4 linked regions of the Drosophila melanogaster genome follow. The protein of the gene in region 1 purifies or fractionates together with the protein of each later gene. This does not show direct contact. Each region holds a gene or a part of one and is shown in the gene's direction. Other genes may lie near its edges. The genes, in order: Mcm7, Sld5, Cdc45 and Psf2.

What was found.
Region 2: the proteins of Mcm7 (region 1) and Sld5 fractionate together in Drosophila melanogaster (co-fractionation; one study listed by BioGRID). This does not show direct contact.
Region 3: the proteins of Mcm7 (region 1) and Cdc45 purify together in Drosophila melanogaster (affinity purification with western blotting; 3 studies listed by BioGRID, with this or other methods). This does not show direct contact.
Region 4: the proteins of Mcm7 (region 1) and Psf2 purify together in Drosophila melanogaster (affinity purification with western blotting; 2 studies listed by BioGRID, with this or other methods). This does not show direct contact.

The regions. Positions count from the first base shown.
Region 1 is NT_037436.4:8,885,716-8,894,810, forward strand, and holds Mcm7 (minichromosome maintenance 7), read left to right. Parts: upstream 1-5,880; 5' UTR 5,881-6,033; coding exon 6,034-6,064; exon of another isoform or gene 6,065-6,128; coding exon 6,129-6,498; exon of another isoform or gene 6,499-6,569; coding exon 6,570-7,071; exon of another isoform or gene 7,072-7,138; coding exon 7,139-8,196; intron 8,197-8,258; coding exon 8,259-8,460; 3' UTR 8,461-8,595; downstream 8,596-9,095. Other genes in the region: dally (division abnormally delayed), read left to right, coding at 560-683, 782-1,255, 1,382-1,571, 2,244-2,419, 2,937-3,144, 3,209-3,347, 3,449-3,603; CG43169 (uncharacterized protein), read right to left, coding at 2,531-2,659, 2,733-2,816; TrpA1 (transient receptor potential cation channel A1), read right to left, coding at 8,973-9,095.
Region 2 is NT_033777.3:26,053,860-26,060,489, reverse strand, and holds Sld5 (Sld5), read left to right. Parts: upstream 1-3,942; 5' UTR 3,943-3,998; coding exon 3,999-4,109; intron 4,110-4,169; coding exon 4,170-4,623; intron 4,624-4,681; coding exon 4,682-4,803; 3' UTR 4,804-4,833; downstream 4,834-6,630. Other genes in the region: Trmt61 (tRNA methyltransferase 61), read right to left, coding at 229-687, 742-910; RpL34a (ribosomal protein L34a), read left to right, coding at 1,446-1,510, 1,573-1,996; Tcs6 (Threonyl-carbamoyl synthesis 6), read left to right, coding at 2,303-2,337, 2,401-2,701; PIG-P (phosphatidylinositol glycan anchor biosynthesis class P), read left to right, coding at 2,667-3,143; CG14543 (uncharacterized protein), read right to left, coding at 3,182-3,643, 3,708-3,833; Cmpk (Cytidine/uridine monophosphate kinase 1), read left to right, coding at 5,154-5,915.
Region 3 is NC_004354.4:1,025,574-1,034,172, reverse strand, and holds Cdc45 (cell division cycle 45), read left to right. Parts: upstream 1-3,616; 5' UTR 3,617-3,845; coding exon 3,846-4,756; intron 4,757-4,808; coding exon 4,809-5,625; 3' UTR 5,626-5,882; downstream 5,883-8,599. Other genes in the region: CG14630 (uncharacterized protein), read right to left, coding at 1,117-1,750, 2,063-2,649; Rpp21 (ribonuclease P/MRP subunit p21), read right to left, coding at 2,720-3,104, 3,164-3,330; CG3021 (uncharacterized protein), read right to left, coding at 6,023-6,538, 6,627-7,280.
Region 4 is NT_033779.5:4,385,682-4,388,911, reverse strand, and holds Psf2 (partner of Sld five 2), read left to right. Parts: upstream 1-1,555; 5' UTR 1,556-1,592; intron 1,593-1,841; exon of another isoform or gene 1,842-1,898; 5' UTR 1,899-1,903; coding exon 1,904-2,148; intron 2,149-2,206; coding exon 2,207-2,573; 3' UTR 2,574-2,730; downstream 2,731-3,230. Other genes in the region: Tps1 (Trehalose-6-phosphate synthase 1), read right to left, coding at 54-187; Vps53 (vacuolar protein sorting 53), read left to right, coding at 2,934-3,029, 3,090-3,230. UniProt on the Drosophila melanogaster protein: The GINS complex plays an essential role in the initiation of DNA replication.

The DNA.
Region 1 (9,095 bases):
ATGATTGACAGATTATAGATAGCAGTCGATAAATGGTAATTAAAAGGGGAGTCTAATAAAGAACATCTGATTCCAATACAGCAAAAACTAGTATTCATTTATTGGTAGAAAATATATTTATAGAACTTATTAAAGCCTTATTAAAGTAAAAACTTTTACTGGTATTTATTTTACTTGTTTTTTTAGCAACAAATTGCTAACTTAACCTTTTTTGGGGTTTAATAATGCCAGTAATGGAATCACTTTTTTAAGTAGATTTCAGCTTGTATTTCAGCAACTTTATTCATATTTCATTTTACCTGGCAAGGATAACAGCCATATTAAATTGTATTTCATTAACTAAAAGCTTACTCATGCCCAGAAATAAAGAGCAATGGCAACAATTCTTTTTTCCAAGTGGGCGGAAGTGGAAGTCCCAGCCAGTCCATTAGGGCAAAAGTTCCCAGCAAATCCCAGCAGGGGAAACTTTTGGCGGCAAAGTGATTAAATTTCGCTAGGACTAACAATAACCATAACAATATTTTCATGGATGCTTTTCTCTCTGATTTCATTGCGGCAGGTCACGTCCTGGAATTGGCGCAGATTTCGGAGAACATGACCCACTCGCTCTTTTCGAAGGTTTATACCCGTATGGTGCCTTCATCGCGTATGATGATCCATCAACTGTACACCGAAATCATGAAGTAAGTGCTCGTATTTACTCTAATAAAACAACGAACTAGCTGTATTTAATTAATTCGAGTATAGAAGTTTAATTCTAATTGAGTAATTTCTCCTTTAGCCATCTGATTTACACCTCCAACTATACGAACAGCAATGGCCAACTGGGCAGGCGAGGAATTGGCAGTGTCCAGAGCAACTTGGAGGAGGCTGTCAGGCACTTCTTTGTTCAGTTGTTCCCCGTGGCCTACCACCAGATGGTCCATCTGTCCAAGAACAATTTGGGTGACTTGCACGAGGACTACGTTAACTGCCTGCAGCACAACTTCGACGAGATGCATCCATTCGGGGACATTCCCCAGCAAGTGCAGTCCAACTTGGGCAAGAGTGTCCATATGTCCAATGTCTTCATGAATGCCCTGCTCCAGGCCGCCGAGGTCCTCAGCGAAGCGGATGCCCTTTATGGCGAACAACTGACGGACACGTGCAAACTGCATCTCCTCAAGATGCACTACTGCCCCAACTGCAATGGACACCATTCAAGTTCTAGGAGCGAAACGAAATTGTGCTACGGCTACTGCAAGAACGTAATGCGGTAAGTTGAAATGCGGAAAGGGGTTTCGATATGTTCAAAAGATTATATCAATTTATTTACATATATTTTCAAAACTATAAATTGTTATACCGACCATTTGTAATGCCTCTGTTTTATGATCTTCAGCGGCTGTTCGGCGGAATATGCCGGACTACTGGACAGTCCCTGGTCAGGTGTAGTCGACTCCCTGAACAATCTGGTCACCACCCATATTCTCTCGGACACCGGCATCATTAATGTCATCAAACACCTGCAGACTTATTTCTCTGAGGCAATCATGGCTGCCATGCACAATGGGCCTGAACTGGAAAAAAAGGTAAGTAGATCCTTTCAAAAATTTAAGAGCAAACGAGCGAATAAGCGAAGCTTTAAATAACTTGCTCACATTAAGTATTCATTAAGTGCACTCGATTTTAAATCGCATTATCTCTTATTGCATAAACATATAAGATGTATGAGTGGAAGATATTTCAAGGACACAGCTCTGATTTTCAGACATCTATCTGCAGATGCGATCGATTTCGTTAACTGGCGTCCCAAGGACACGATCGTTTAATGGTTTAATTGCCAGTTAATTTATGAACATTTTAAATGAATTTAATGGATCGGAATTCAGTTCCGGCCTTCGAACTTGTTCTGCTCGCTGCAGCGGCAGTAGTCTTTAAAAAAATATCTTTGGCATTTCGAGATCTTGTTAAACATGCACATGACATCCAATTGATAGCCGTTCGCACGATTGGCATGTTGCCGGGAATTTAAAATGCTAAATTCGAGTGGAGTCAGAGTTCAGTTCAGTTTAGTCCCGTACCCACCATAAAGTTGCAATTTACATGCAGGGCGATGAGCACTTGGTCAGCTTAATATAATGGGTCAGTTGGGAGGCGGGCAGACACGTGCGCCTTGCATGAGCGGCGGCGATTAGCAAGTGGAAATGGAACCCCCCAAACCGAAGCTCTACATGGTTAACATTCCCCCAATTGTCTTGCAGGTAAAGAAGACATGTGGCACGCCCAGCCTGACGCCCTATTCGTCCGGAGAACCGGATGCGCGGCCTCCGCCCCACAAGAACAACGTAAAGTGGGCCACTGACCCGGATCCGGGCATGGTCCTCTTCCTGTCCACCATCGACAAGAGCAAGGAGTTCTACACGACCATCGTGGACAAGTGAGTATTTAGACGATGCCACAAACTATATTGATTGGGTTGGGATTTCAACTAGCAACTACATTGACTGACCAAACTATGACTTAAAAAGGATAGTGTCCTTGGCGAGGATTAACGCTTCTTGGGCTTGGTTATCATGGCGATCACGTCCTTCAACAGGCAAAAGTACAACGGCGTCACAATGGCCACAAAGAAAATCAAATTGGCGAAAAATCCATTCTTCACTGGCACACGACAGCCCTGAAAATTAGAATTAAATATTATATTAACCAAATTCGAAGCTTAATTATATGCTTTAATATTTAAAACTTACATGTCGAGGTATCGGTGGCATTGGGCGAGCCAAGCAAAAGTCGTGGGCCAAATGATGCATCCACAATACTAGCTCCTTGAACATTTTGTTTTTTTTTTTAAACTTATTGAACAACACAGAATAGTTGTTGTGAATTTCAAAACAACGAAATAGTGAATTGTAACAACAAGCTTACTAAGCTCATATAACTTTTTCATTCATCAGCTTCTGCGATGAGCAACAGCACTCTCGTGACGATCACTCCTGCTGGTCAGGCGATCGTTTCGGGGACTACACTCAGCTGCTGATTAATCCGGGCACTGATAGCCAGCGATATAATCCCGAGGTGCCCTTCAATGCGAAGGCTCAGACCGGCAAGCTGAACGAGCTGGTCGACAAGCTCTTCAAGATTCGCAAGAGCATTGGAGCTGCGGTAAGTTTGGTCCACCATTTGGGCATTTGGAACACTTTATTCATTTTTCGGCACACCTCCACAGGCACCTTCCAACAGCATACAGGCGACGCACGACATCCAGAATGATATGGGTGAGGGCTCCGGCGGCGGAGAAGGTCAGATCGGCGACGATGAGGAGGAGTATGGAGGCGCACATGGTTCCGGAGATGGTTCCGGCGATGGTAAGTTGTTACAAATCTTTAAAAGTCCCTACATGGTCGCTTCCTTCCGTAAAAAAAAAAAAAAACATTCCTCTTAACCCATTTTCTTGTTTTATTTTCAGGACCCCATACGCCCATCGAGGAATCCGAAGGCACCACCACCAACGAAGTGGAGTCGCGTGACAGCGGCAAGACCAGTGGGTCCAACCCACTGGAAGGCACCGCGACGTGGATGCTCCTCACTCTAGTCACAATGCTCTTTAGTAGCTGTAGTTAAGGATGCTGCCCCAGCCCAAGGGATTGAACACAAAAAACGCAATGCCCCCCACTGTGCGAGGGCAATGAATGATGTAACCAGAAGAAGAGCAACAGCAGATGCACACGAATCGAGTTAAATCATTAATTAATAACTATTATCATTATTATTATTATTTGTGTAATTCTTAAGTTGTTACAAGTAATTTATAGGCCCTAAGCGCATTCATCTAGCAATCGACTAACAACTTTACAAACCAGAAGCGAACCGTGAAACCCTTGAAGTGCACCTCTCCTTCTAGCTTTTCCAAATTTGATGCTCATCGAACTTCCATGCCGAATCCAACTAGACTTGTGTGCCATATAAATGCGTTGGATATTTGCATACGAATCGAGCAATTGCTAAACACAACTAACTAAAAACGAAAATTAAACTAAATAGGCTCGCAATCAAGCAGAATCCCTTTTCCATAGAGTGTGCAGTTTGTTCAGATACATGTTAATATATATAGCGTACAGTACACAAAGCTCAATGTTCAAAGCAAGTTGTTCCTTTTCGGTGTAATTACACAAGTAAACAGATCTAAAATCAGAGGCGTGGCACCACATTCAATTGCTAGGTTTTTTGGGGGCGATCACAATATATTATATACGTAAAGGATATAAATCTGTTAGCTGTAGCTCAGTGAATGTTAAACTAAAATGAAATTATTGTTGTCTACACCTTTCGAACTGAACGAATGCGAACAATTTTGAAATTGATCAATTGGGTAATCGAAATGCGAAATGCATACGAATGGAATTTAGTTGAGTAAACGCACGGAAAAACTAGAAGACTTACAGCTTTATACGCAAACAAAAACGAAAAAAAAAACGAAGGCAAATCGATGAAAATCTATTGATATATTAATACGTATATTATATGTAGCATTACTTAAATTATATGAACAAAGAGAGAAGACGACCTTGGGGGGATAACAAATGGAAAAAATGTCATACAATGCATTCAGCTAATTAGAGTTCACAGAGCACTTGGATTTCTTCTTGGGGAGAGAGTGCAGAAAATGCAGAGTTCAGCGCACAAATCACAGTTCGCAAATTTGCAATTTCAATCGAAACTAATGTTGCAATCTTACGGATACTTTACAGTGGGGCAGAGCGCTGCTGAATCAAATCCAGAGAGCAGCGCTGGCGGCACTCTAAAAAAAAAAACAAGTAAATATATATATATACAAATGAATATGAAATATGCATTAAAACGAGTATGGCGCCAGCGATAAGAATGCAGTCTATATATATACATATATATATATATAAATACATAAATGAATTAACTAATTAAATCGTAATTATATGCTAGTGCGTAAACGTAACGATTAGCGCGTAATGTGTAAAAAGCAAACAGTTGAACGAAAACAACAAATTTAGTTAGTAGCAAATTAACAAAGGAAACGCCAACTGCCGCCGCACACAAATTGGCATATAGGCATATATACATACATATATCGCATATACACTTCGATTCGATCGAAATTAGATCGTATTGTGCCGGCGAGCTGGTTGAACTATGTATAATTATTATTTGTATCATTATTATTTAACTATTGCATGTGATTAATAATATTTAAGTTAAACGTAAACGCAACATATTAAATTGTAACTCGTTGTAAATCTATTCGGAGATAACCAATGCGAATCGAAAATTGCACTAAAAATAAATGTACTACTTTTAGATGCCTAAAAACCAATAAATAATTATGTAACAAGAAACGCAAGTCCAAGAAGTTTATTGAAAGCGATACGCAATAGTGCTATGAGTGTAACGGCAGACAAGCGAAAATGAGAACTTTTGTAAATTTCATTTAAAACCTGAATAAACGTCAATATTTGAAATTCAAATTTAGCGCGTCTTAATTATGCAAGCAGGTGGCAACACCATTGAACTCAGCATTCTTGACTAGAATCGAATACACATGTGTAGAATTGCGGGTGGCAACTTCCATCATATGAAGAAGTCAGAGTGGCAGCTCCGGACATGTAAGCAAATACTCTACATGTTTCCCGACATTAAAAGTACGTGTATTTTAAAGATATAATGATATGGTAATAAATATTTAAAAGTGTAAGTTTATGGTTCACGAACATTTAAATGTATTAATTTTGAAGTTATCTATAATTACAATTATCTATAACAACAATTTTCATTATACATTCTACATATGTAATTATGTAAAAATATAACGATAGTTTTATATTTTTAATTTATCTCACATCTCAATCTATAGTACCATCTCTAATCAAACGCGTTTTTGGCGGGAAGCGTTTACATTCTCATTGTTTTCCCCGCATTTCCCAGCAAACAGCGTCCGAAAAAACACCTTTGGCAAGCAGCTGTACGCAATTTGTTGTTCATTGTTGAAAGTACAAAAAAAAAAAAAAAACCAAGCCCAAAATGGCTCGACGAGATTATGCCCAAGACCGAGGTAAGTACAAAGAAGTCTTTATCTTGGACGAAGCATCAAACATTCAATGTTTGTTGATTTGCAGAATCTATCAAGACCTTCCTTTCGGAATTCTGCAAGTGCGACGATGATGGCAAAAAGGAGTTCGTCTACGGATCTCAGCTGGTGAAGTTGGCCCATCGAGAGCAAGTTCTGATCACCATCGATCTGGATGATCTGGCGGAATTCAATGAAAGTCTCGCGGAGGCGGTGGTCGACAATTGTCGGCGATACACGTCCATATTCAGCGATGTAATTGCTGAACTCCTGCCCAGCTACAAACAGCAGGAGGTACACGCCAAGGATGCTCTGGATGTGTACATTGAGCACCGCCTGATGATGGAGTCCCGCACCAGGAATCCCATGGAACAGCGCGATGAGCGGAACTCTTTCCCCTCGGAGCTGATGAAGCGATTGTAAGTTTTTCAATTGAGCGATTTTCGCAGTTTTCCTCCGAATCTAACTCTAAAAATCGAACTCCTTTTAGCGAGGTGGGCTTCAAACCACTGTCCACAGAGAAGGCGCACTCTATTCGCGAGGTTAAGGCCCAGCACATTGGTAAACTGGTCACCGTTCGCGGCATTGTTACACGCTGCACGGAGGTTAAGCCCATGATGGTGGTTGCCACCTACACATGCGATCGCTGTGGCTCGGAGACGTATCAGCCAGTTAACTCGCTATCCTTCACGCCCGTGCACGATTGCCCGTCGGATGATTGCCGAGTGAACAAAGCGGGAGGTCGTCTGTATCTGCAGACCCGCGGCTCCAAGTTCGTCAAGTTCCAGGAGGTCAAAATGCAGGAGCACAGCGACCAGGTGCCCGTGGGCCACATTCCGCGCAGCATGACCATCATGTGCAGGGGTGAGGTCACTCGAATGGCCCAGCCTGGGGATCACATTGTGGTCTCTGGAGTGTTCTTGCCACTAATGCGCACAGGTTTCGCTCAGATGATTCAGGGTTTGCTCTCGGAGACATTCCTTCAAGCTCACGTGAGTTACCTCGTTTAAGTGCAACAATATTATATAAATGTTTAATATATTGTTACCTTCCTAATAGCGCATCATCTGTATCAACAAGAACGACGAGATTTCGGACAAGGATGCCGAGCTGACTCCAGAAGAGCTGGAGGAATTGGCCCAGGATGACTTCTACGAGCGCTTGGCCACCAGCTTGGCACCCGAAATCTATGGCCATTTGGATGTTAAGAAAGCGCTGCTCTTGCTGTTGGTCGGAGGAGTTGACAAGCGGCCCGATGGCATGAAGATTCGTGGCAACATTAACATCTGCCTGATGGGAGATCCCGGTGTGGCCAAGTCGCAGCTGCTGGGCTACATTAGCCGATTGGCCGTGCGATCGCAGTACACCACAGGGCGAGGTTCTTCGGGGGTGGGTCTTACCGCTGCGGTCATGAAGGACCCTCTCACAGGCGAGATGACATTGGAAGGAGGAGCTCTTGTGCTGGCTGATCAGGGAGTCTGCTGCATTGATGAGTTCGACAAGATGGCGGATCAGGATCGTACAGCCATTCACGAGGTGATGGAACAGCAGACCATTTCGATAGCCAAAGCAGGCATCATGACGACCCTAAACGCTCGCGTTTCCATCCTGGCCGCTGCTAATCCCGCTTTTGGACGCTACAATCCTCGTCGTACCGTGGAGCAGAACATTCAGCTTCCCGCAGCCCTGCTCTCACGTTTCGATCTGCTGTGGCTCATCCAGGATAAACCGGATCGCGATAATGATTTGCGCTTGGCCAAGCACATAACCTATGTGCATAGCCACAGCAAACAGCCACCCACTCGAGTAAAGGCTCTGGACATGAATCTTATGCGGCGCTACATTAACCTGTGCAAGCGCAAGAATCCAACTATTCCGGATGAGCTCACCGACTACATTGTGGGAGCTTATGTGGAGTTGCGTCGGGAGGCGCGCAACCAGAAGGACATGACCTTCACCTCGGCACGTAACTTGTTGGGAATCCTGCGGTTGTCCACCGCTTTGGCTAGGTTGCGTCTTTCCGATAGCGTGGAGAAAGATGATGTGGCTGAAGCACTGCGTCTGCTGGAGATGTCTAAGGACTCGCTCAACCAAATCCACGAGCACCAGAAGGGACAGTAAGTAGTTGCAAAGGATGTAAGTAAATCCTTGTGCTAACAAAAATATTTCTCATTTTCAGCGTACCCAACACTTCGGATCGAATCTTTGCCATCGTTCGTGAACTGGCTGGCTCTGGAAAGGCAGTCAAAATCTCCGACATCATGGACCGCTGCACAACCAAAGGATTCAAGCCCGACCAGGTGGACAAATGCATCGATGATTACGAGGAGCTCAATGTCTGGCAGGTCAACATGGGACGCACGAAGATCACATTCATGTAGATCGCACGCTTCATCCCACATCTTACATTTAGTAAATAAGTTTATGTCTCTTTATCGCCAATCGTTAAAACTACTCTCATACATTGTCACTTTACCATTTATCATTGTCATAAATAAATAAGAATTTTGTATTTGACTTGAGGAGTGTGTCTCCTTTGTTCCAAAATGTATGCTGTTTTTCTGGTTAATATGATTTTATTTTATATACTTTTTAAAAGACATCCAAATAACAATACACACTTTTGCAAATTGCATTTAAAACTACAATAGATCTGTTGAATTCCACAGCTTAATCAAGTTACGAGAACAGCCCATGATCCTTGCCTATAAATTCGATGTATTATTCCTTTCAGGACCTCACACAATACGATCGTCACATACACACACGATCCACGTCACTGTGGGACAACGATTTACACACACATAGAGATATATTAAAAATGGTGCAATTTTTCTACTAAGGACGATACACAGATTTTGTTATAAAGCCAAGTTCCTTCGAACGAAGGGATCTACATGCTCTTATTGAAGCTCAGGGCGGCTCGGAGTTTATTCCGGACTCGCGGCGAGTTCCATCGATTTCCGCCTGCCGATCTCAAACCGACGACGGATCGCAACTCGTTTGGGGATATACC
Region 2 (6,630 bases), on another chromosome or scaffold:
TTTAAAATGGAAGTAAGTTTTTGTTAAGTTATTTTACTATAACTAAAATTTAAGCTGTCTAAACAAAGTTGTCTCCTAGGTACAACTTAGTGTACCAATTTCGACGATTTATTGCATGTATGTGAATGTACCTGGTCATCCCAGTTAACCCAACATATCCGCCTGATTGCCGGATTGCCCGCAAAAGGGCGCTGACAACTAGTTGTCAACGCGATGTTGGCCACTCACCGGACAGCTTCAACGCCTTGAAGGCGTGCGGCACAGCGAGATCGGGCGCGGGCAGATCCAAGAAGACCGCATCGGCCTTTCCGTCCAGTTCCGCACCAAAGCCCAGATTGCAAACGTCCCGGTGATAGACGGTGACGAAGTCAGCGATACCATGTCGCCGGAACTCGTCGCGTGCCTGATCCGCTCGAGCTTCGTGGAAATCGAAGGTGTGCAGGTGGCCAGTGGGTTTCAGTGCTCTTAGAAAGTAATGCGATAGAGACCCCGATCCCGTGCCCGACTCAACCACCACGGCACCGGGTCGGACCTCCAGCTGGTGGATAATCATACTAATATCCGGCGTGTAAATAATCTGTGTGCGGTGGGGCAGTGTTTGTGTCCAGAGTTCCGGCGTCGGCTGAAGGACATGGGCCCAGCCCTTGGAGAGCTCCACTTTACTACCATACTCCACGCCGATGATATCTGGAATAGGAATTGGGATTAGGAGAATCCGTTAAATCTATAACTTTAACTTACTTTCAACTTTTAGCGATCCATAATTGGTCTGAAAAATATGCGGTATTGTTTCGCCCTTTTTGTTCACTATTTCGGGCACCGCTTCGATGGCATGCATGGAACTGACACTCAAATAAAGGATGACCACATCGCCCTTTTCTATGTGGGTCTTGGGTTTCAGAAAACTCATGTTTTTAGTTAAAAACCGTAAGAAGATTTTTTTATTTACAAAATAGCCGCGTGTTTAAGCAATAGAGATGGAAGTTTGGTAATCAACAGGCTATCGATAAGTTTAAGTAAAGTGGCGGGTCAGGGCTACACAAAGTCCAATAATGCATATTTGTACTTTTTGGAAGTTTACATACTAAAAAGTTTAGTAGAACGAATAAACAACTGGTTTTGGTACTAAATAATATATATTGTGTCAGTTAAATGTGTTCGAGATAAATGTTTTGAAATTATCGATAGCAATTAATATCATCAATTTTTCTTCCAGCTCTAGCTTCTCTTCTTCCTTCTTTTGATTTCCGGAGAGGTTTGTGTTTTAATTGTAATGATTATTTTGATTGCAAAAAGCGCTTTAGTGACGTTAATTGCGATGCAAAACTAGACTACCATGTAGTGGCAACGCACTTCTGATGTTTCGTCTTTGTTCTGTTTTTTTCCATGAATTCCTTGGAAATGGTGTTTATTCCGGGTGGTCAATTGGATTCAGAAGCTTTAAAATGGTCCAACGCTTGACTCTGAGACGACGTCTGTCGTACAACACCCGCTCCAACAAGAGGCGCATGTGAGTAGCAGGAGATATGCTGTATATCCCACGATAACTAAGGATTTTCCATTTGTTTACAGTGTGCGCACTCCCGGAGGCCGTCTGGTGTACCAGTACGTGAAGAAGAACCCCACTGTGCCACGCTGTGGTCAGTGCAAGGAGAAACTCCACGGGATCACCCCCTCCCGGCCCAGCGAGCGTCCCAGGATGTCCAAGCGTTTGAAGACCGTCTCCAGGACCTACGGAGGTGTCCTGTGCCACAGCTGCCTGCGAGAGAGAATCGTCCGCGCTTTCCTCATCGAAGAGCAGAAGATCGTCAAGGCTCTGAAGAGCCAGCGCGAGGCTTTGGTCAAGCCCGTCAAGAAGGTTGTGGAGAAGAAGCCGGTGAAGGCTGCCGCCAAGAAGCCCGCGGGAAAGGCAGCCGGAAAGCCAGGTGCCAAAGTCGCCGGCAAGAAGCCCGCTCCCAAGGGCGCTCCTAAAGGAGTCGTCAAGTCCAAGAAGTAACCATTTACCAGAAGGATTTGTTTGGAGCAATGATATTGAACACCTTTTTTTTGTAATAAAGAAACCACAAATTGAAGAAATTAACGTTTTAATTGACAGCTTATTTCCCATTGTTATTAACTTCAAAAACTTAACAAGCGCTTAATTTAAAACATAAATGTGATTATGAAGAATGCTCATTTTTAAACATTTGAATTCTTCAATCAGCTGTTCACGAGATAAACAGCCGGTGAATGCTTCTTCTTCATAAATTGTCATTAACTTTCTCCGTTGACATGTGAGCATTTCAGATTGGTTAAAACTTTTATGATGCCACAAATTGCAAATAAACCAAATGAATCGTAAGTTTAACCATTTAACAAAGAAATAAACATAAATTTAGTAATAAATATTCGCCTCATTAGCATAATAAGAGTGCCGTTTGAGACGCCACGATTGGCCGAGATCGCCTACAAAGTCCTCGGTGTCGACCAGGAGCCGCGCCGGAATTTCGTGAAAAAAACTTTGAGCCTGGAGAACGATGTTCTGGTTGTGCACTTTCAGTCGGATCAAGTGAAGAGCCTGCGCACTGCCATCACCTCCTTCTTTGAGTGCCTGCTCCTGTGCCAGGACACCATCAACCAGTTCGGAGACTCCAAGAAAGAGAAACTAATCCCCGAGAGCAACGACAATGCCGGAACACACTCCAGCTCCGACTCCCCATAGGGCGGTCTATGGTTTCGCCTTCTATATGCTGTTCACGGTCCTCTTCCTCGTATACGTGACTTGGGCGCTGCTGCCAGTGGAGTTTGGTCTGCACTCGTATCTGCCGGACAAGTATTTTGCCGTATTTGTGCCTTTTCTGGTGCTGGTCTTCGCCTGGTTCTTTGCCTTCCTCATCTATCCTGCCATAAATCTATCGATGACAGTGGATGTTGATTCCATTGCCTCGGTGGTGGATCCAAAGCTGGCACTGCCCAAGGGGACAGAGTTCACCTCCTGGTCGCAGTTGCAAAAAGGCAAGGTCAGCCAGGATTCCGCATCAAAGAAGGCCTCTCCAGTGAACTGCAACCTGTGCAGGACTTTCCACCAACCTGTGACACGTGCACCTATTCCACCACTGCGTTTTCTGGACCTCCAGGAAGTAAATACAGCGTATTATAACTAAAAAACTAGCAGGTTTCTTTTTAATCATCCCGACGAAATTCATTTTCTTCGCACGGTGGTCCAGCCGTCTTCCGGTTCCACAAACTCCTCAGCCTGCTGCTTTCGTGCCTGCGATCGCGTCATCCGACCACTGCCGCTGGGAGTTTCCTCGTCGCCCTGGCCCATTTCATTATCGTCCTCCTCGTCGCTGTCGTCCATGTCCTCATCGGATGAGGAGTCCCCATCGATGGGTGTGTAGGTGATCTTAACATCCGGACGCAGCCACTCCTTGCCAGCAGGAAGTTTACTCAATTCAGCCTCTATTTGCGGAAACTGGTTCTGCTGGGCCATCAATTTGTAGCGCAGCAGATTCCGGCAGATCTCCGGAATGGAGTCGTCGTCGCAGAGGGTGTTAAACTCCTGGTCCATCAGCTCCTCCAGGACCTCCACCAGTTCGCCTTGCGTGATATTTTCGTTGGACACGCAGTACTGGTAGGTGTAGTCCATGATTTCTATGGCCACCTACAAAACGGACACTCCGATTAGGTTAGAAAAGAAGACGGTTTCAGGGTATACGAGCAACAACCTGTTGGCCATTGCGTCCGCCCATGCCATGCTCCACCGCCAGCCGGAGATCCTGCCAGTGATTGAAGATCTTCTCTACAATCACTCTAAAATTCTTTTGGAATTCAGTTTGTTGTGCGGCTGCCATCGCATGCTTTTGTGATATCGATAACGGTTAGACGTGCCATTCACACGGAGTAAAAACAAATGAAACAGTGATGAAAAACGTCAACTGTATTACTGGAGTGACATTCCCAACGATTCCCAAAATTTGCGCCAAAATCTGCAAAATAATAAACAAATAAATAAAACCATGTCGGATGTAGAAGACGTGCCCGAAACCCAGTTAGAAATCGATGTCAGCGATGGCGCCGGACTGGAGGATGAGGATGATGACGATATGGAACAGATTACAGCTCAGAAGGTAAGGTAAATCGTAACACAGCTTTTTAATACGCAAGTAATCACATTCTGATATCCCTAGGTTCTGGAAATCATAGAAACCGCGTGGATAAATGAAATGTGTGCGCCGGAGATCCTGCCCAGCCAGACGGACATGCTGGAGCTGATGGTCTCCCAGGTGGCCCACATGGAGGAGCAGATGCGCGATCTGGACAAGAACGATTTCCGAGCGGTGGTGCACTCCATGGAACTGGAGAGGGTGCGCTACATAATGGCCAGTTATCTGCGTTGCCGCCTGCAGAAGATCGAAACCTTCACGCAGCACATCCTCAACCAGGAGGAGAGCCGTGAGCCGGATGACAAACGTCTGTCTCCCGAGGAGACTAAGTTCGCCCAGGAGTTTGCCAGTAATGTGGATGAGTACTTCCACAAAGTAGCCACCCAGTACATGCCCAACCAGCAGAGAGGAGAGGCGGAGCAGAGGATTGTGACGCCCAATCTGATGAGCCATGTCTTTCTTAAGGCAAATGTGGCAGGTAATAACCTTTTGTCATCTAATTAAGATAACCGCTTAACTCTTGTTTTGCTTTCCAGTGCCCGCTGTGATCGTGGGCGTCGATGATGAGGAGGTGGACATGGCGGCCGGCTCCCAGCATATTATTCCCTACCAACTAGTGGCCGACTTGATACAAAACAACCAAGCGCAGCTAATTTAAAAGACTTATTTAGCAGGTAATATACATGATAATAAAAAAAATTAAAAATCAAACTCTGCAAAGCTGCATGTTTAAGGGTACATTTAAAAATGTTGTAGAAGAATATTTAAATTAAATTTAATTTATTTAATATCGAACCGGAAGTAAACTGCATAAAATGCCATTCAAATTGGTTCGCTTCCCGCTAAAGCCGGCGCCAGTGTTGCCGAACGGACGCCCGCGAACAGCTGCGCTTGTGCGTGACGTCACAGGGTGTTACGTTTCCAGTGGAAAACAGTGGTGAGGTGTACTGCAGGCGGCATACACATAAACCACGCATTCAATTTGCCTTCAGTTTGGTTCAGTCGTCAATGTGGCGGGCTTTGGCACGAACGACGTTGAGAGCAGTAGCCAACGATTGCGGTTCACCAGGAGTCGGTCTCGCACCATCAGCGCTGACGCAGCACCAATTGCGACATTCCAAGGCCAGCAATAGGTTCATCACCACCACCTCCACAGCCCCACCACACAATATCGGAATCATGAGCGTAGAGAAGCCAAAGATTGTCTTTGTTTTGGGCGGTCCCGGGGCCGGCAAGGGCACCCAATGCTCCAGGATCGTGGATCGCTTCCAATTCACCCATCTCTCGGCCGGCGATCTCCTGCGCGAGGAGCGGTCGCGGGAGGGCTCCGAATTCGGTAACCTCATCGAGGACTACATTCGCAATGGCAAAATTGTGCCCGTCGAGGTCACGTGTTCGCTGCTGGAGAACGCCATGAAGGCGTCGGGAAAGTCGCGGTTCCTCATCGACGGCTTCCCACGCAATCAGGATAATCTGGACGGTTGGAACCGCCAGATGTCCGAGAAGGTGGACTTCCAGTTTGTCCTCTTCTTCGACTGCGGCGAGGATGTGTGCGTCAAACGGTGTCTGGGCCGCGGCCAGAGCGGCTCTGGCCGGACGGACGACAACCTGGACAGCCTGAAGAAGCGCATCTCGACATACAACAACGACTCGCTGCCCATCATCAAGTTCTTCGAGGGCGCCGGCCAGGTGAAACGGATCGATGCCAGTCCGGATGCGGAAGAGGTGTTCGGGGAGGTGGAAAAGATATTTGTGGCCAGCGGCTTCTAGATTTCCTGTTCATATTCCGGTTATGTGTGTAGTGCTATCCTTACCTTTCATTTGTACCCTCTAAAAAAATACATATATACGCTTGTTAATAGTAATGCATAAGGTACTTTTTCTTCACCCCGATAAGATACAAGATACACATGAAGTTTAGTATACCCAATCAAGGAAAGCGGAGGTACACACACACTTTTTAATATCGAGTAAAAAATGGAGCTAGGCAAAAGTTATTCTGGAATTATATGTTATCTAAAGCAAATGGATTGAGAACTATTTTAAATGTAGGAACGTTAAAGAGCAATAAACAATAAATTAAATCCCCTGTTCATATTATGACATTTAAAACAAGTTTTCTTATTTATACAAGTGCTATGTGATTTTCATTTTTCAAGTGTTTTACATATTTCTATAGTACCCAATAGTACAAATTTAGGAAAGTACTTCTTTTTATTCAGATAAACACAATTTTGCATTTATAGTTAAAGCTGAATATATGTATATACATATATATATAATTTCATGATTTGGAAATTCCTTTTTCTTATTTTATTGAAGACAGGCATGAAACGTACATATCTTTTAAAATACCGAATATTGTATAGCTCTAAAGTAACAAGTATTGCGAATTTGTTTGTAGCTAGGCTGTGCGATTGCAGCACTACCCAGTTCTTTCCATTATAGCTTGTAAATGCTAATTACTCATCGATTTTTCAAACAC
Region 3 (8,599 bases), on another chromosome or scaffold:
CCAAACCGGTGGCGTTTGCTGACCGTATATTAGCCACCTTACGTGGGCTATACGTTTATTCAGCTTAGTTTTCAAACCGCCACGGTGTTTGCCCATACTCAATAGAACTCTACTCACTCAGATTTTTCCTTGGTTTTTGCAGTTCCATTTAATTAGTCCAGTCTTCTTCCAGTCCAGTGTTCCTTTGTTCCTTTGTTTTCACCAGCTTTGGTCAATTCGTCCAGCGTTGGACGACTGTCACGGTCGCCATGTAATGATGAACTCCAATTAAGAACACAAGTCCGTTTTAAGTTGAAGGCAGCCGTCGGGCTGACATATATTTATTCAATTTCTTCTTTTGATTTTAGAGTAGGCAGAAATGGTTCTGTCAGCTCAACGTCTACCGAGTCTCTCCCTGATTTTACAGTTTTTTAATATATTTGGACTTAGGCTAATCCGCGTAGCTGCGCTGCCGGGTACGCCAGCAGCGGAGCGGCGTTCTTATGTATATCTTATATATCTAGGCTTATCGGGAGAGCGAGATATGTATGTACGTATGTAATATGTATTTGGTCGGCGTGTGAATGCTGACCATGCACTTATACTTTTTGCCTTCGAGTGGGCAATGCACTTATACTTTGTGGCCTTCGAGTGGGTGATCATGTTACATCCGCCCTGGCCTAACTGCGTGCATAAACATAAACATAAACATAGCAACAAAGTGCTGCCATAAGTTAATATGCTATTTTATTTAATTGTTCTTAATATTGCATAGGCACATACTACACTCATATTTCGGGCGGTGTTTGGTTAAATTCTCATATTTCCATTATATTTATATTTGTATAAATGTAGTACATATATTATGCTAGAGGTGGCAGTTATATCGATGTTATCGCGATGCCAGAGCGGAGTTACTCAACCACGGCAGTATCGAGAAGTGCTCGACCACTGGGCTTGTATCGATAGTATCGGCGCCGTTCATCGTAGGATTCAAACACGTTTCAAGTGAAATTCATTTGCAAGTTGAGACACAATATTTATACACCTCCCAAAATTTATTCGCTGTGCCATGTGTAAAAAAAAACCATTTAATTCACAGTTACATTTCAACTAAATCTCACAACATTCCCTCAGTCAATCCTTGGCATTTGGGAACTTCAGGGTTCGCAGCTTGGAGTAAATAATGTCCCAGTCGACGTAGGCGCCCACCAAATGACGCTTGTTGCCCGGCGCATCCTCGTAAGCCGTTCTTCCGTGCAACATTCGCAGGTTGTTGAAGACGAACACATCGCCGGCTTGGGTCTTGAACTCCACCGCCTCGGACTGGGCGATCTCAAGGAACTTATCGTAGGCTTTGTACCAGGACACGGCCTGCGCCAGGGAAACGGAGAACCGGCTGTCCCGCTTAGTGGTGTTCTGGTTGATCCTCGCGAACCGGCCATCCACATCCAAACAAATTACTGGCGCTCTCCAGAGACTGTGGAAGGGCTTGGAGTCATCGCCGTCGTGTCCGATGTCAAACCAGTTAACGGGCACCGACTTGAGCACCTCGAAGTCCTCCGGATGCAGTTTTTGCAACTGCGAGGCCACGTTGAAGCCATCTGTCAGCGTATTTGCTCCACCCTTTGACTCCGACTGGACGAGGGTGTGCAGGATGTTGATGCCCGCCTTGTACTCGTAGTAGGGCATGTCGGTATGAAGCGGCAGGGGAGTCATTAGATAGGCGTAGTTGCGCGCATTTGGTTTGGATTTAACCTCGAAAACGTCGCTAGGGGAGGCGGGATAGTAGATAATTTATAGCTGAACTTGAGTAATGCAACTAAGGTGTTTTCCCTTTTAATTTATGAAATGTGGCTAGCATATTCTGTAGTAGTATCTAGCGTGAGTAAGTGGTAATCAAATCTTTATCATGAGTACAAATGGACACCTGGTTGAAAATATTTGCCTGATTCTGGCTGTAACAATCAACCGATAGTGATAATATTTAGTGGACTGATAGATAATACAGCTCTCGGCAAATGTGAGTTTTATGACCCTGGTACTGTACGATGAAGTATGTCATCTATTGGTTAATATTTACCCGTAGGTGGTGCGTTTTATGTAGCCAATTCGTTCGGCCAATTTCTTAGCCACATTTATGTCGTTGGGTGCCCCTTTCAGAATGGCGAATCCTTGGACTGCCAGTGCCTCAAGCCAAACTCTCAGGGCTGCATCTTGCTCCAGCACATCCTCGTATTGGAATTCTCTTTTCACATCCTCGAACTCCGTTTTTCCCCAGAGTTGAGCGGGTGGCTTGTAGACCTCCTCCAAGTAATGCTTTCTGCCAGTCTCTCCAAAGTCCCTTTCCCTCAGCCAGCCTAGATCGAAGGTGCTCCTGTGCTTGTCCTGCCAGATGATCTCCAACTGTTTCCTCTCCTTGTTGTAGGCCACTTGGGACACTGGTATATTCAGCGGGCCACGATCCCAGTGACTTTTTCTTGCTCTTGTGGCGGCGTGGAAGCACTCGGCACACTGACAGTTGTCCCTAAGCCAAACTTGGGGGTACTTCAGGAGATTGCCCTGCTCCTCCTGGACTTCTACATAGTCGGGGCATAGTCGCACACAAGCAAATGTGCTCGCCTGCCGAAGAAGGCTCAGCCGAGAAATAAGTTGCCTACAGCTAAGCATTCCAGGCTCAACTGCCGAGCAATCAGGTGATGGCACAACAGGCAGGCTGGCTGATAAGCAAAGCTTCAGCTTATCGCTCGTCTTTCTCTTTGGGGAGCGAGACCACTTGCACTATGGATTGCGGCTGCTCCAACCAGCAGTCTCTTTGACTGTTCGCCGCAAAGCTTCGCCGGCCGCAGCAGAGTGAGCACTCTAAGAAAAAAGAGACCTGTTCAGTACTTTCTTGGATTTGCTCCTCGGATTCCTCCTGGTTGGTGTTCCCTGTTTTCCGGCTTCTGGGCTTCTTGCGCTGCCTGCGATGGCGCTTTTTCTTCGTTTTGACTGCTCCGTTCGATTGAGCTTGTGCATCAGTCTTGGCCTCCTGTGCTCCTTCCTCCACATGCAGCTCCGTATTCACTCCGGGAATCAGGGGAAGGAAACAGCGCCTGCACAGGGAACGCTTCACGGCCGGGGCCCTTGAAACCAGTTGACGCCATGAATTATTTGCCCATACTCCACTGGAGAAGCCACTTACATGTGCATGATAGCCTTGGTGCCCACATTGCGGCAGAGTTTGCCATAATAGGCGGCCAATTTTGGTTGATTGCCTACTGCCATTAAATTCGAGGCCTGGAACAGGTAGTTCATGCGTGAGGAGATGGCCCGCTGGGTCAGGTGCTTCATCTTGTTGTCCCTGCTCATATTCTGAGGCTTTTGTCGCACAAAGCTGGTCGACTGGTAGACTTTCGTTTTTGTGGCAATTCAAAACACATGGGCGTCGCGGTGTGACCGTATCTGGAGCGCCAAGATATTGCTCCTACTGCAATAGCAGCAACTGCAAAGAGCTCTCAAAATTCAACATTATGTGATTATAATTTCGGTTTTTGGCAGCTCAAAATTTCTGGAAATTCGCAGAATATTCTTTTCCCAGCAACGATTGTATTTCCGCGCCATTCCATTATTTCACACTGGTCACACTGGCTAAGCCAGCTGTTTCCCGCGTTTTTGATTCGCCAATTGCGATTGCCAGAAAAGCAAAAGTGGAGCGGCAGTGGGAAGCTGGAAAATAGCGCAAGCCGCAGGGAAACCCTCAAAATGCAACGCACTGCACTCATGTAGAATTCTACTTTGCATCGTAAGCGATTGGAAAGAGACCGTTGTGTCTAGACGTAGACAGATTAGGCAGACGATTGGGATTCCCGCCAGAAGTGTTCACCATGTTTGTCCAGGATCTGCGCAACGACTTTTACCGCCAGCTGGTTGGCAAGCGCATCTTGATCGTGGTCAACTACGACATCGATGCCATCTGCGCCAGTCGCATCCTGCAGGCCTTGTTCAAGTACGATCACATGCTGTACACCGTGGTGCCCATAATGGGCGTTACGGGTCTGAAGCGGGCCTATGGAGAGCACCAGGGCGACGTTAAGTACGTGGTGTTGGTGAACTGCGGCGGCTGTGTAGATATTGTGGAGCTCCTGCAGCCGTCGGACGACGTGACCTTCTTCATATGCGATTCACATCGCCCGTTGGATGTGTGTAACATCTACAGCGATCGGCAGGTGTGCATCTTGGGGGATGCCTCCTTGGAGGAGAATATTCCAGCGTTCGAGACAATTTTCTATGACTCTGAAGGTGAAGACGAGGATGAGGACGAGTCCTCTGACACGGAACAGCAGCACGACGACAGTGGTGCCGGGGAATCGGACCAGGAGGATCAGGCGCCAAGGAGCCGTAAGCTCAGTCGCCTGGAGCGGCACGAGCAACGCATCCTGAAGCAGCGAGCCCGCCGACAGTGGGAGTCTGAGCGCGACAGGATTATGTTCGAGTACACGCAGTTCAGCTACTACGGCAGGTCCGCCGCTTTGATGGTTTTTGAGTTGGCCTGGAAGCTCTCAAAAGACAACATGGACCTGCTCTGGTGGGCCATTGTGGGCATCACGGAGCAGCTGCTGCTGGGCAAGATCGAGAGTGGAGCGTATACTTTGGAGCTGGAGCAAATCCAGTCGCATGTGTCCCGACTGACGAACAAAACGAATGATCAGAACACGATGAGTGCCTCCAAGATAACCTTCGAGAATGATTTGCATCTGGTCTTGTACCGCCACTGGCCCGTCACGGAATCCATGAGGTGAGCATTGACAGTGTATTCTATGCCATTTAATCATGTAGTATAATCGTAGGTATTCCCGCTACTCCTCATGCCAGCTGAAGCTGTGGACACTGCGCGGAGAGAAGAGATTACACGAGCTGCTGCTCGAGATGGGACTTCCCTTGGTGCACGCCCGCCAAACGTACGGAGCCATGGATTTGGTGTTGCGCAAGGAGTTCTTCTCGATGGTGGAGCGCCTGGCGGAGAAGTACGACATAGCGGACATAGTTTACGGCACCTTTACGCTGAGCTACGGCTACCGCAGCAGATATGCTGCGGCGGACTACGTTTATGCCCTGCTCGCCATCATGGAGTCCGTGAAGAAGCACAAGACTCCGGAGGATTGCTTTCTGGAGGCCTCGGATGCTTTGAGTCGTCAGCACAAGCAGCTGCTGTCTGCAGGCATCGACCAGGCGAAGCTTTTGCATGCTGCTGTCTTTCGGCAGGTGCAGAGCAGCTTGGAGGCACGCCAAGTTCATTCAGCGGGCTCCTTTTTCTACTACGTTCTGCAGGAGGAACACGCGTTCTTCTCATACCCCTATGCCCTTGGACTGTTGGCTCGCTTTCTTTTGCGCGGACATGTGGCCACGAGTAGAGCCAGGCAGGCTTCGGACTTGCCGTTGATCGCAAGTTGTCCCCTGAACGCTTCGGAGGGCATGTGCTTGCTGGTAGGCATTGTCCCGGTAAGGGAAGACTCTCCGCGAAACTTCTTTGGCAAGGCCTTCGAGCAGGCGGCGCAAAAGAGTGGAGTCGCTCTATTGCAGGACTTTTTCGAGCCAGCGGTGGTGCAGCTGCGGCAGAGCGACCTCACACGCTTTCTGGACTCCCTCACGGTGCTGTTAGCCTAATCCACGCCGCTTTCTATTCTACCTGCTACCGACACATCCCTGCTCAATCATATTATGTGCTAAGCTAGTTTTATATCGCGAGACCTCACGTGTACACTTAGTTTAAGATTTTACCAAACCCTATTTATGTACGATTGTGTGTTAATAACTTTATCATTGCTCCCAGGACCACAAAATGCAAAATGTCCTTTTTCAAAAACTAATTGTAAATTTGACCTAGAATAATAAATTTAAATTAAAGTGTTTACCATGGAATTAAAAGTGTCGATTCACGTCTAAAATTTACTCGGCGCTTAAATTTATGAAAACGTATTTACCATGCTATCTATACATGCCGTGTTGGCAGTTGGACTGCCTTCTTACATTTGGTTTATTTTCTGGCTCAGAGGAAACATCATTAGCTAACCAGATTTGCGGCTTGAGCTTGCTGCGTCTGTGCGTTTTTTTTCTTTAGGGGATTAGCGCTGAGGATGCGGGCCGAACCCAAACAAGCTGTGTCGTCATAGAATACGGCATATTGTCCTGGTGTAATAGCTCTTAAAGGAGCGTCCAACTCGACAAGAAAAGTGTTACTGGGAGAGATGCTCAGCTGACAGTCCACCAATGGTTTGGTGTGCTGGAATCGAAAGCGACACCTCAAGCTGCCAGTGTCCGAAAGAATCTGTTGGGACTTGGAACACAGCCAGTTGGGCGGATCGACGGCTATGTGGGTGCTGAGAAGGGCGGGATGGTTGTGGCCAGATGCCACATAGATGGTATTGCTTGCGGCCTCTTTCCTGGCCACAAAATAGGGCTGAAGGAATGAGCTCAGACGGCACCGCTGGCCCACAGTCCATTGATGGATGCCCTCGTGGTGGCCGACAACGGCTCCACTGTCGATGTCTAGGAAGGGACCACGTTTGGAAGTGATGTACTGAAAGTGGAGGGAAACCAGATTTGAGTCCGTGGTGAAATCAAGGAAATTGAGCCATGTGCTTTTTCAATCGCGGCAAGTGCTTTACCTCCTGTATGAAGTCCTTGAAGTTGCGTTTGCCAACGAAACAAATGCCAGTGCTTTCCTTCTTTTTGGCCAGTCGCTGGAAGCCAATCTTCTTGGCCAAGTCCTTGACCTGGCTCTTCTGGAAGTCTCCCAAAGGGAACATCGTGCGTTGCAGAGCCTTTCGGGAAATACCTGCCAAAAAGAATGTCTGGTCCTTGAACGTATCGGCGGGTATTAGCAAGCGGGCGTCGTTGTTGGAGGCAATCCCCTCCAGGTAGTTGCCCAGACTATTCCGGGCGTAGTGACCCGTGGCCACGGCATCGTAGCCGAGATTTTCCAAGGCGTGCTTGTGAAAGAGGTCAAACTTAATGTGGCGATTGCACAGGATGTCCGGATTTGGTGTCAAGCCCATTTGGTAATCGTCCAGAAACTGGCTGAACACCGCCGTCCAGTACTCGCGCACATAGTTCACCTGACGCAGCTCCACGCCGAGCTGCCGGCACGCCCACTCGGCGTCCTTCAGATCCGCCTCCCCACTGCAGCGACCCACTTCGTCCGCCTCATCCCAGTTGCGCATAAACACACCCAGCACCTTGAATCCTTGCTCCGCCAGCAGGTGGGCGGAAACGGCGCTGTCCACGCCGCCCGACACGCCCACCACTACGTTGCGAATCATTGGGCGGTGTTGGCAAAGCAATAATTTCAAAGTTATGTGTTTCACGTTAGACGAACAGCAGTTTTTGTTTATGCGGCAGAAACAGTTGATGTGCTTTCCGTTAGTTTTTGGTATTTATTTTGGGTATACCATGGTATTATAAACTATCGCATCGGTGGTCACACTAATAATACCGGCGTTTAATGCGCTGTCAGTTCAGTTCATTCAGTCGGGCCATGAAGCAAAGCTCCGCGCATTGTGGATTTGCGCGTGTCGAAAGGGGAAACAGCAAAAACGCCATTTTTTTCGAGTAACGGTGCGTGCGTAATTTTATCCGTTATCTTTCCTCGACAAACATTCGAACTGGGAAACAACAGGAATTCCATTTTTTCGAGTTAAGGTAGGTCAGTAATTTAACCGTAATATTTTCTCACCAAACTGTAGAAATGGGAAAGGAGCGAAACTCCATTTTTACGACCGAAACTCCATTTTTTCGAGTGAACACTGTGTGTGTTGTGTATGTGGGAGGAGTCACTTCTGAGTGCACGTTTTCCCCCTCATCCGTTATCTATCCGTCTCTTTTTTTCTGTTTTTTTCCGCAAATGGGCATGATGCAGTTTTTGAGAATTATGCTCGCATTCTAGTCGCACACGGGACTAGACACCGTGCGCATTTTGACTCGGCATTCTTACGGGGCATTGCCGGCTTCACAGCCATTTGTACAAATTGGCATTGCAGAAGTGAACTCTGTCGCTTCTGCTGCATGGATGGCGCTTGGCCATCAAGAGAAACAGAATCCCCTGAACCACAATAAAATTCTGGCATTTATACAGTGCATTGGACTTCAGGGGGATCGTTGAGTCATGAAGGGGTAGTAGTACAATAGAGCCGACTGGGTCGCAGTACACCTACAAACCCACTTAATAATAATAAGTCGCTAACAGTTGTGAAGTAAAGTGTATAAGTTGTGAAACAACAAGAACTCCATTTTTTTTTAAGGTGCGTGTGTGTGTCACGCTTTCTTTTCTCCCTCATCTGTTATTTATCCTTCCATAACAAACATTCGAAATAGGAAACAACAGCAACTCCATTTTTTTTCGAGTGAAGATGTGTGTGTGTGTGTGTGTGTTAGAGAAGAGCCACTTCTGATTGCACGTTTTCGCCCTCATCCGTTATTTATCCGTCTCTCCTTTCGTGGCAAATCGGCATACTGCAGAGTATTTCGACAAAAAGCATGAACTTTTATGCACCTGCGATGACGAATGCCCGTCGATGTTCTTTGCATGTTTTTTTGTATTTCATCATGGCTAGGGCTGCTGTCTGGGCTTGGGTCGAGGAAG
Region 4 (3,230 bases), on another chromosome or scaffold:
ACACGTATTTGTTAAACTGGATTATATAAGTCTTTTTTTTTTAATGTACCCACCTGGCCCTGCGTTCCAACTCATCGGTCTTCGGATCTCGGATAAGCACAAACGGCAACCGATTGGATACCACGATGAGACTCGCCTTGGTGGAGGGCTCCCCGGCATTGGTAACGATGATTTCCGTGTCGGGCATCGTGATCCTTGGTAAGCTAGCTGTAGAAGAGTTAAACGAATCTTCTCCTGCGGTCAAGTCTAGCACATAATTTTTGACAACAGCGTATGGGAAAATTCGCGGATGTGGAGGTTAGACAACCGTCTAGTTCAAATCCAGGCTTATCAATGAACGAGTCCGTTCTTCCGAAGCGAGAGCGACCGTTGCCGAATTTGGTTCGAGATGCGCTGATCGATGACTGAAGACTGCTCGAAGCCAAGTCAATCACTGCCTTCTTATCAAAGCTACTCTCAGATGCAATTCTACGTGGAAATGGCAGGCAATTTTCCTGGCTGATTGGCGGTGAGTCGATTACGTTAGTTTCGATGGTCGCGAGAGCCAGCAGCTCCGTACCCTGCCGAAAATAGACAAGCACTAAGCCAACTAGGCGATCAAGTCGCACTTTTCTGCTAAAAATTAATGCCAGCCAGCCAACCCCCTCCACCCATTCCATCATGGGTTCCACAGTCCACTCTCCGGCTTATCAGAAAATCGTCCGGCATCTGCTCCTCTCGCGCTGATTACATTTTTCCCAGCGGATGTGAGAGAATCGAAACCTGCGCAGGAGAATACCTACCGCTTCTGTCCTGGCCTAGTGGCCAAGTGTTCACCCAATTGATCCTTGAAGGGGTTAGATGTCATGGGGATGTGATCTGAACTATCGGTGCCGCAGTTTACACACCGCAGATAGTTTTCTAGAATTAACTGGCCGTGCCTGGTATTATCAGCTCGGGAACATTTCACGGCAACGACGGCCACAACCTCATCATCCTCCGCCTCCTCCCCCTAACCACCACCCATCCCATTCCATCTCATCGATGTTGTCTCTCGATGCGATAAGTCAACAAATCGATGCTGTTGTTTACGCTTCGGGCTCAGCCTTATAAAGAACATCCGAATTGTACACAGAAGATTTGTATTTCTATTTTCGTTTCTCTATCGAAGTTGTCTGCAGATTGCAGTTGAAATCTGTTCAGTTTGGGATTCCAGCTAGTGCAGATCTAACCTTGTAATGACCGCCATTTCTGGAGTTCATTACCGGGCGTATAGTTTTATTTGCCCGGAAAGATACAAGACCGATAAGGCTATCTAGTGCATTTTAGTCTCGGATTTTACGGCGAAGTGGTGCAAGGGATTACGCCCGGGCAGCTTATATATTATAGAACGGAAAACTTGGCTGAACTTGAACGCTTGATCATGTTTGGCATTCATGCGCTTATCACGATGCCCGGCTGGCGTTTTACGTGATTCTTGATAGTTGTCGTCGCCTTAGCCGGAATCTGCAATAACACATTCGCACCGGGAGAACAAATTAGTCAGCTCCATCGGTTGTAGCGGTGCAGCAATGCGATGCGATCCGATCCGGCCGGCGATAGTGGTAATGATGGTGAGATAACCCGGCCGAAGGTCGCCGAATTACGGTTGGCATATTTATAGTGGCGAACTGTGGCTATTATGTCGCAGAAGTCTATAGTTTGACGTGATTAAATTGACGCAGAGCCCGCAGGCGAAAGATTCGTGATGCAAGCAGATTGTTGGGAAAACAACACCGTTATTAACGGTCAATAGCAGAGCTGGGCTGCCAGACTGCAGAGATCACTGGGTCGATAGCATTGAGATCGATAGCGGACAGGTGTCATCACTGGCCGCTCGAGTGACCGTATGTTCCCGCATTTGTTTTGTTTGTTTATAGCAATTATGGATCCTTCAATTATTGAATTTATTGGCGAAAAATGCATGATCAGCATAATACCGAACTTCAGCAACGAGCCTCTGCACCTGATATACGGACCTGTGGGCCCTTTCCGAGCCGGTTTTCCCGTCTTCGTGCCCCTGTGGATGGCCACGCATCTGCGCAAGCAACAAAAGTGCCGAATTGTACCTCCAGAATGGATGGACATGGATATATTGGAGGAAATCAAGGAGGAGGAAAAGCGCTCAAAGTATGTATGATGTGGGTATGCCCGTGGAAAGCAAATCTTATTCTCCGCCTGCCCATAGGTTCTTTACCAAAATGCCCTGTGAGCATTACATGGTAGTGGCCCAGTTGGTCATGAGCACGGCTCCGGATGACGTTCCGCGTTGCGAGGAGCTGCGCACTGTGATCAAGGACATCTTCGACATACGCGAGTCCAAGCTGCGCACTTCGATCGACGCCTTTATCAAGGGAGAGGGCACATATGCAAAGCTAGACAACCTCACGCTTCTGGAGATCCACAGCGTGAGACCCATTCTGCCCTATTCCCTGGACCACATAGCACGGTACCAGCGCACGGCCACTGCGTCTCAAAGGGACACCTCCATGCTAAGTGCATCCATGGCAGGCTCCAGTTCGGGTCCGAACAGTAACTCTCTGTTTTCTCAGTGATTATTCCAGTCAAACAACATTGTTGGGAACATTTAAGATAATAGATTTAGTTATTAGCAGGAGCTTATGTAGCCTGTAGTCATTAAACCTCTCAAAAGTTCAAAAATATTTGTATGCTTAAAATTAAATATAAATGCTTTCAGAAAATTAAAAAAAGTAATTAGAATTAGAAGTTTTTGATAAGGCATTTCAAATTCCGATAAATTTCTTTATCGATATGCGCTTATCTAACAGGACTGCGCCTTACAGCACGACAGCAATTTAACAGCAGCTGCTATCATATAATTGCACTGTATCCCTGGTTTTCCACGAAGAGAATAACAATAACTTTTTTATACAAATAAATAAGGATAAAGCGAGATGAGCGAGTCTGCGGTAGCGGTGGAGCCGGAAGAAAGGATGGTTGCTAACAACAAAATCCATTTCTCCAAGGAGGTGAAGCAGGTCATCGACAAGGTGAGTCAGTGGAACATATGTTGGTAGCAATTACCAACCCAATTCGAATGTCCATAAAAGGTTCTCAAAACGGACGATCCGATGGATGCGCCGGACTTCAACACTGTGGACTACATCAACCAGCTCTTCCCCAACGAGCAATCGCTGGCCGGTATTGATGAGACCATCCAAAAGATGCAGTGCGAGGTGTCCCTGATTGAT